2 linked regions of the Coturnix japonica genome follow. The protein of the gene in region 1 interacts with the protein of each later gene in a pairwise test. Links are inferred from orthologs where the notes say so. Each region holds a gene or a part of one and is shown on either strand. Other genes may lie near its edges.

Region 1 (4,245 bases):
TAGAGTCTGTATTATACCAAAATGGAAAACAATGTGACTGGGTATTAGCGTATGGCACACAGGACTACTATTTTTTTTTCCTTATCCTATCAGCTTTCTTTTCTCACAAAAAAATAAATAAAAACTCATACTTCATAAAGAACATTTGCGAAAGAAAAGCAGACAAGCATCAGAAGATATATTTTTTCCTACCAAATGAATGCAAAAGCCATTCAATGTGATAAAATTAAATATGCACAGAAAAAAAGTCTTACTGCTGATAAAACTAGAAAGACAAGTGGTATAAACAACATCCACTGAATGTCCAGGCTATGCCATTCAGCACACAAATCTAATACTTCTGTGTGAAAATCTGATTGACATAATAGACTATAACCGTTGCAAAGAACCCATTATGTCCCATCATGTAGATGGCTGCATATAATGATACAGCCATTGTAGTCTGTAAGGCTCTGGATCAGTGAATTAGAATTTCTTTATGTAGAACAGACTTTCAGCAAATAGGATCAAGACCCATTTTAGTAATTCCCAGTTATGCATTCACCCATCATCACAAGCTGAATTACTAAATTTCAGGAAAACTCAGATACATAAAGTACAGCAGCCACTTATAAAAAGCAGCATTATTGAGTATGTATCATAAAGCTATCACTGTCCTATAAAAGTTTCCAGTAAGAGAACATGCTTTTTCAGATGTCAGCTGCAGGCAACTTAGTGGGTGGCTCTTGTTTTAGTTAGACGTAATCATTACAGTAAACTACTAGTATGCACTTCTGAGAAGTTCATGTATTTTTTACAATAATTTCATTTTTATTTAAAATTATAATCTCTGCAAATAGACAAAAGCACTATTTAAATCTTCAAATAAATTAGCTAAACAAAAGAAGAAAAAGGCGCTTGATATGAAGTAACTAAAGAATTAGGCCTAATACTGCATTTATAGAAGAGTGGTCAGGATAAGGGAGGTGAAGAAACACACTTGGACTTAGAGGGGGAAAATGCAAGTCCACTGTGAATGAGCACTGAACTTGAGCTCCAAGGATGGTTCCTTCCCCAAGTCTCGGAGGACCAAATGCCATACACTGTTCAAGCGCATCAACACTGACAAAGACTTATTACAGTTACAGATAAAAGACATACTCAAAGACGCATATCAAGTGTAAGTTTCCTTTACGTGTCATAGCTATATTTGAAGCCAACAAAATGACTGTAAAGTGTGTAGTTCTAACAAGACTGTTGCCTTGGGATAGCTAATCCCACTGCACAAACTATTCATGCTATTAATGGAGAGTGAGGTAAATGCTGTCTATGATTTCAAGAACAATTAGAAATATCATGACATATAGATGTTGTAAATCAGCATACAGAGCGTGTATAAAATGTGTATAAACATGTATATAGTACCCTGCCTGCATCCTTATTTGAATACATCACTGTGACATCACATTCCATTTAGAACAACATGCACTGCCTACAGCACAGACCTTAACCCTAGAGTCAGACAGATCTCTTGCCTTGTAGGAACCCAACTGCAATAATTTGAAGAGAAGCTAAAAGGATAAATGAACTTTCTTTCAGCTGTATAATGGAGGGATAGATGAAAATGGATATATGCTCATGCTTCTCAAACTGCTGTAATCTGACTTGCCACAGCGTAAAGAAAGAATGCCGCTCATCTTGGCGCTTCCTCTTTACAAATGAGCAGTACTGCAGCTGTTTTCCGTGCCCATACGAAGAGGACAAATCTTACCAGTGCTGCCACTGCTCATGTTCAGAGCATGCAAATTGCTGGTGGTGCTGTTGCTCTTGCTCAAGTAACCCAGACTGCAAATGCTGCTGCTGTGGTGGTGAGAATTCAACGTGTCAATACTATGCAAGCAAATGCTGCAGAATCTATGTCTTTGAACCACGATGGTCAAGAGCACCAGGGACTGCTCAGTAAGTGGAATCAAGGGCTTTTAGTTTTTATAGGTTTAAATTTTTCTAATTTTCATTCCATCTTAATGGATGTCTTGCATTTAGAAGTATAAGATCCAGTGGCTCAGTGGAGTATTTCAAACCACAGGATATCATTCTTTCTTAAAAGCAAAAAAAAACTTTTTTTTTTTTCCCTACCATTCTCTAGAGTGACAAGAAAAGAAATAGCATGGCTGAACATCTGGGCAGAGAAGGTGCTAAACTGAAGCATGGCAGAAGGCCAGATTGTAGTCTCCTAGAATCAGGAGTACATCCTGAATAATGATGCTCTTTGCCAAGGATATAGAAAATGGCCAGGATCATTATAAAAGTAATACTCTTTTTTTCAAACAATAATGTCCACTGGCTAAGAGGAAAGCCAGGATAATCAAGATTTAAAGAGAACGCAGAGAATCAGTTATTTTCTAAAATACAAGAATTATTCTAATTTTAATAAAAATATCCAAATTTTGATTCTTTCATGTTAATTGCCAAAATTTTAATGATGTAAGACTGCTGCTAAGAATAATCTTCATTTGTTTTAAAAATCAGAAATAATGAGTGATTTTTTAAAATAATTAAAATTTAGGATCCTTCTATGTAAATGTGTGTTGTTATTTTAAATTGAAAAGTTTTTTCTTTTTCATTTTATTTATTTTTGTGTTCTGTTTATAAAAAGAAGCAAATGAGAAGGAGACAAAAACACATTCCAGACTGCAGTAAACCAAAATGAAATCTGTTTTTTGGACACCAGTATTAACTCAAGAAATTCAGAGAGACTTGACAAGAGTAAGATTTCTGCCTACTCACATTGTTGGAAACAGCATTCAAATACACTGAAATAGTTACGAAAATGAAAAGAATGAATTCTTAGTATTGTTAACTTAACTGTTTAAATAAAATATCCTGTCCAAATAAAGGGACGGTTGGCATGCAAGATGGATCTGCTTATTTTATCATTCTGTTTCTTAGATTGTGCACTGATATTCTGCCTTACATTTTCATTTGTTTGCTTCCCCCCCCCCATTTGATTTGCTTAAGGTCAGGAGATGTCACATCAAGATTAAGAACTAGATATAGCACATCTGCCAGTATACCAGAAAGGAAAGGCTCCAGCCAGGCTTTTCGTGACCAGCTTGCCTGTCCACTGTGTAAACAGTTATTTCTCCAGCCACTTATGCTGCCATGCAATCACTGCATTTGTGAGAAATGTATAATAAAAAGCAAGACCAAAGCTGAAGCAACAGAAAATTATTACATCATCATATGCCCGGTGTGTAGCAAAGCTCATTGTCTCCCTTGCACAAACAAAATTCAGCTGAGGAAGAATTACCTTAGAGCAAAACTAGCCAAGAAATACATGCGCAGACATGGCATTCTGAAATGGAGATTTGACCACAGTGTAGGACCAGTCCATTGTGAAGCTTGCAGGGAGAGAAGAAAAGTGGCAACTAAAAGATGTAAAACATGTGGAATGAACATGTGCAATGAATGTCTGCATTTATATCATGCTGAGAGTGGAGCTGAAGACCACATTTTTACCAGTGCATCTCAAGAAGATAACGAACAGTGGGCATGCTTACTGCACCACAACTCACACCTCTCTGAATACTGTCTGGATGACCACAAACTGATCTGTTGTTTCTGCAAGAATTTGCAACACAGTGACCATGAGACCATCCCTTTGGCAGCTGCGTGTTCAAGAGAAGCTGCTTCTCTCTCCAATACAATTGTAAAATTTAAAGAAGGTTTGTATTTCTGCTGCTTCTTACACTTCCCTATGCCATTGCAGGAAAGATACTTGCACATACACTTGATGAGCCACGTTAATTCTTTGAATATCACAAAAGGCAGAAAGATGAACCATTCCCACTGTGGAAATACAGAGGAAAGAAGCCTTTAATTGTGTGGAACCACATGACAAATTCAAATACTAGAGAACAAAGGATTTGTATGTGAGATAGTGCATCTTGGTGTAGGAAACTCCATTTCATACTGCGAGACCCAGTGTGAAACAACCACAAATTACACCTACATTTTTAAATCAGAAGTACATGCCTTTTTCCCTGCAGGCAAATTATGAATTGTCTCTCTTCAGTCAGTATTATGATTGTGTCCATGCTGAGTAAGAGGCAAGACAGCCTCAATGTTCTGAGGAGCTACAGCAATGTCACTTCCTTTATCTAAGAGTTCATCCATAGTGTCTGAGTGACAGTGCAGAGACTGGGATTTTATGAATTTCTTTTAAATACTTTGATTTTTGCATATAACACCACAAATGCTGGGGAC
Region 2 (3,550 bases), on another chromosome or scaffold:
CAGGTAGGCTGGGGACAGGGGCAGCTCAGCTCCAACCCACAGCCACTGGCCCTGTGACGAGGGGGACGGGGGGGTGCAGAGGAGGAGCTACAGGCTCCCAGAGAGGGAGAAGAGAATGGAAAAAGCCAAGCTTGGGGCTGGGCTGAGCAGTGCGAGGGGACGGGCACCAGAACAGCACGGCTGTGGCCACGGGCTGAGCTCACCTGGGTCAGAGGAGCGCAGGACGATGTCTGCCGTCCACAGCAGCCAGGCAGGCAGCCCGCCCTGCAGGAACGGGGAGAGCATCGTCAGTGAGCACGGGGCCAGCGGGGCCGCTCGGCAGCCCCGGTGCAAGGCAAGGACTCACCATCTCCCACTCAGCGCAGATGTAGGGCCCCGGGCGCAGGATCACCAGCAGCCCCAGCTCCGCCGCCAGGTCCAGGAAGGCTTCCACGTCCCGATCCCCGCTGAAGTCATACACTCCCGGCTGCGGCTCGTGGTAGTTCCAGGGCACGTAGCTGGGGGAGAAGGGGATGGCAACCCGAGGCGGTGCAGGCTGCGGGGTGCGGAGCTCCGCGCACAGCACCGGGCAGGAGAGGCGTGGGATGCCCCGCGTGGGTGACCCCCCAGGCTCACTTACACCTGCACGGCGTTCAGCCCGGCCATGTAGAGCCGCAGCAGGCGGTCTCGCCAGGCGGCCCGCGGGACACGGGCGTAGTGCACGCTGCCCGACACGTAGCGGAACGGGGCCCCGTCCTTGAGGAAGCAGTCCCGATCGAAATCGATCTGGAAGGAGCGCACCGGGGGGGCGGCCTGCGGGACGGCACAGAGCTGGGGGCGGCAGCACCTCTCCGAACACAGAGCGGGTCAACGGCGGGGGGGGGAAAGGGGAACGGGACCCCGACCCGCCGCCCTCCCGCACCCACCTCCGCACGCAGCAGCGCCGCCGCCAGCAGCAGCCCGAGGGCCGGCAGCGCCATGACCGCGGCTCAGCGGCCGGGGGGACGGTGCGGAACGGGCGAAGGAACCGGCACACGGCCCATAGCGCACAATGAGGGCGAGGATCCGAACGGGACCGCCCCCCGCACCGCGTTCCGCCCCTCGCGACAGGACGCGCCCACTAGAGCCAGGTCCCGCCCCGTCGGTCCCACGGGTGACGCGACGGTGACGCGCGGCGGCGGGCGATGACGCGCGTGGACGATGGGGCAGGCGCTGTGCGTCTGTTCCCGGGGCACCATCAGCGTGGGGGGGGCGCGGTACCTCCTGCTGCAGCGCCTGGCAGAGGGGTAACGGGGGGCTGGGGGGGCTGGGGTACGGGGGGAACACCGGGGGCACGAGGGATGTTGGGTATAAGGGGGTTTGGGGCACGGAATGGATGGATGGATAGGCAGGATTTGGGGAGAGATGCTCGTGGCTGGAGGGGATGTTCGGGCTCTGCTCCCCGCAGGGGCTTCAGCTACGTGGACCTGGTGGAGGGGCTGCGGGACGGGCGCTTCTACGCGCTGAAACGCATCCTGTGCCACGACAAGGAGGACCGGCAGGCGGCCCTGCGCGAGGTGGAGATGCACAACCTGTTCCAGCACCCCAACATCCTGCGCCTGGAGGCACACTGCATGGTGGAGAAGGGGGCCAAGCACGAAGCCTGGCTGCTCCTGCCCTATGTGAAGGTGAGGGGGTGGCCCCCAGCCCCATTGCCACGCAGGGTTGCGGTGAGTGCACGCTGCGTGTCTTTGCCAGGGGGGGACCCTATGGAGCGAGGTGGAAGCACTGAGGGAGAAAGGAAGCTTCATGCCGGAGCAGCGCATCCTTCTCATCCTCCATGGCATCTGCAGTGGGCTGCAGGCCATCCACAGCAAGGGCTACGCACACAGGTGGGGGCCATGGCTGGGGCTGGGGGCAGCAGGGTTCTAGTGGGCGCTTGGTGACGTCCCCCTCCCACTGCAGGGACCTGAAGCCCACCAACGTGCTGCTGGATGAGGACGACCAGCCTATTCTCATGGACCTGGGCTCCATGAACCGGGCCCGCATGGAAGTCACCAACTCTCGGGAGGCCTTGGCTGTGCAGGTGGGTGCCTGTCCTGGGGGGGTTTGAGGGGGGACATCGTCCCACTGCCCCCAGCCCTGCGTCCCCTCTGCCTCTCTGCAGGACTGGGCTGCCCAGCGCTGCACCATCTCCTACCGTGCCCCTGAGCTCTTCACGGTGCCCAGCCAGTGTGTCATTGATGAGCGCACGGATATTTGGGTGAGGACGCAGCCACTGCCCCCCCTCTTTCCCCCCATACTATGGGGTGAATGGCCACTCTAATGGCTGCTCTGCAGTCCCTAGGCTGCGTGCTGTACTGCATGATGTTCGGGGAGGGCCCCTACGATGCCATCTTCCAGAAGGGTGACAGTGTGGCCCTAGCGGTGCAGAACCCCATCACCATCCCCACAACTTCCAGGTGAGGCTCTGGAGCTGGGTGGGCCCTGTTCCCCATGGCGGGGCCATGCCGACCCCTCACTCCCCACAGGTACTCAGCCACCTTGCACCGCCTGCTCTCCTCCATGATGACAGTGAACCCCCAGGAACGGCCCAGCATTGAGGACATCCTACAGCAGCTGGAGGGGCTGCAGGCTACACCAGCCGGCCAGATCACCACGAGTATCTGAACGTGGCCCATCACTGGCCTAGGCTGTGCTGGGCTACCCTGGGCCTGCTTCCCCCTGGGGGGATTTCTGTGCCCTGGGGAGAGCTGCTCCATCCTGGAGGTGTTTTGGAGTCAGACTGTCGTTTGGGGGTGTGCAGTGCAGTGGTTTGTACCCTGAACGCTGCCGCTGGGGCCTGTGCGACCGCTGGGGTCTGCATGGCTGCTGGGGCCAAACGGGCCAGCACTAGGCTGCAGGACTGGCACACGTGCCCTGTTGCTGAGGGCAAGGCCTCGCTGCCCGCCCCGAGCCCACAGGGTGGCAGGTCTCTCCTGCCCCAAAGTATGTGCTGCTGGAACGAGGTGAGGGCAGGTGGGGCTCAGTGCCCGCTGCCTTGACACCCACGTTGCCTTGTGTTTTGAATAAAGGTGTTCTTGATGAGGTGTGCACAGTGTCCTCTGTCCTGCTGGAAATGGGGTGAGCGAGGCACGTGGCCAGGGCCAAGCAGCCAGGCACAGCCAGGCATTGCTGAAGGGGAATGGCAGGGGAGGAGAGCTCCACAGCTCCATGCAGCTGCAGCATTAGCGTTAAGCAGAGAAAGTTAATCTCTGGCTCCAGTGTGACAAATCCGTCTGTGGTTACAGCTGAGCCCTGCTGTGCAGTGCTGCTGTGCAGGCCCGCGGGGGCAGTGCAGTGCAGGAAAGGGGCTCATGCAGCATACGCTGCATAAGAAACAGGCAGAGCCCAGCACCTGGGTGCAAAGGGGCAGCAGCCCTGCTGCAGGGGGGCAAAGACAGTCTTGGGATGGCACCAGAAGCTGGAGGGGTGTAGCAGACACACAGCAGTTGTGCTGCCCGCAGCAGGGAAAGAAAGAGAAGCAGCCAAGTGGTTTCATAGGGAGTATTCCCCTCCTTTAATCCCCTCACCAAAACACAGTAGTGAAACA

Evidence for each region. The genes of interacting proteins can lie anywhere in the genome.
Region 2: the proteins of TRIM42 (region 1) and STK16 interact in binary tests that used the Homo sapiens proteins (3 or more experiments, as listed by UniProt). The two-hybrid records come from large-scale screens. The link is inferred for Coturnix japonica from reciprocal best matches to the Homo sapiens genes TRIM42 and STK16.

What each region holds. Positions count from the first base shown.
Region 1 is NC_029524.1:5,100,479-5,104,723, forward strand, and holds the start of TRIM42 (tripartite motif-containing protein 42), read left to right. Parts: upstream 1-1,445; 5' UTR 1,446-1,597; coding exon 1,598-1,938; intron 1,939-2,997; coding exon 2,998-3,704; intron 3,705-4,245.
Region 2 is NC_029522.1:24,514,590-24,518,139, forward strand, and holds STK16 (serine/threonine-protein kinase 16), read left to right. Parts: upstream 1-1,129; 5' UTR 1,130-1,179; coding exon 1,180-1,265; intron 1,266-1,426; coding exon 1,427-1,646; intron 1,647-1,716; coding exon 1,717-1,850; intron 1,851-1,923; coding exon 1,924-2,044; intron 2,045-2,125; coding exon 2,126-2,221; intron 2,222-2,298; coding exon 2,299-2,420; intron 2,421-2,489; coding exon 2,490-2,628; 3' UTR 2,629-3,050; downstream 3,051-3,550. Other genes in the region: GLB1L (beta-galactosidase-1-like protein), read right to left, coding at 1-8, 204-264, 347-497, 620-792, 906-959. UniProt on the Homo sapiens protein: Membrane-associated protein kinase that phosphorylates on serine and threonine residues. In vitro substrates include DRG1, ENO1 and EIF4EBP1. Also autophosphorylates. May be involved in secretory vesicle trafficking or intracellular signaling.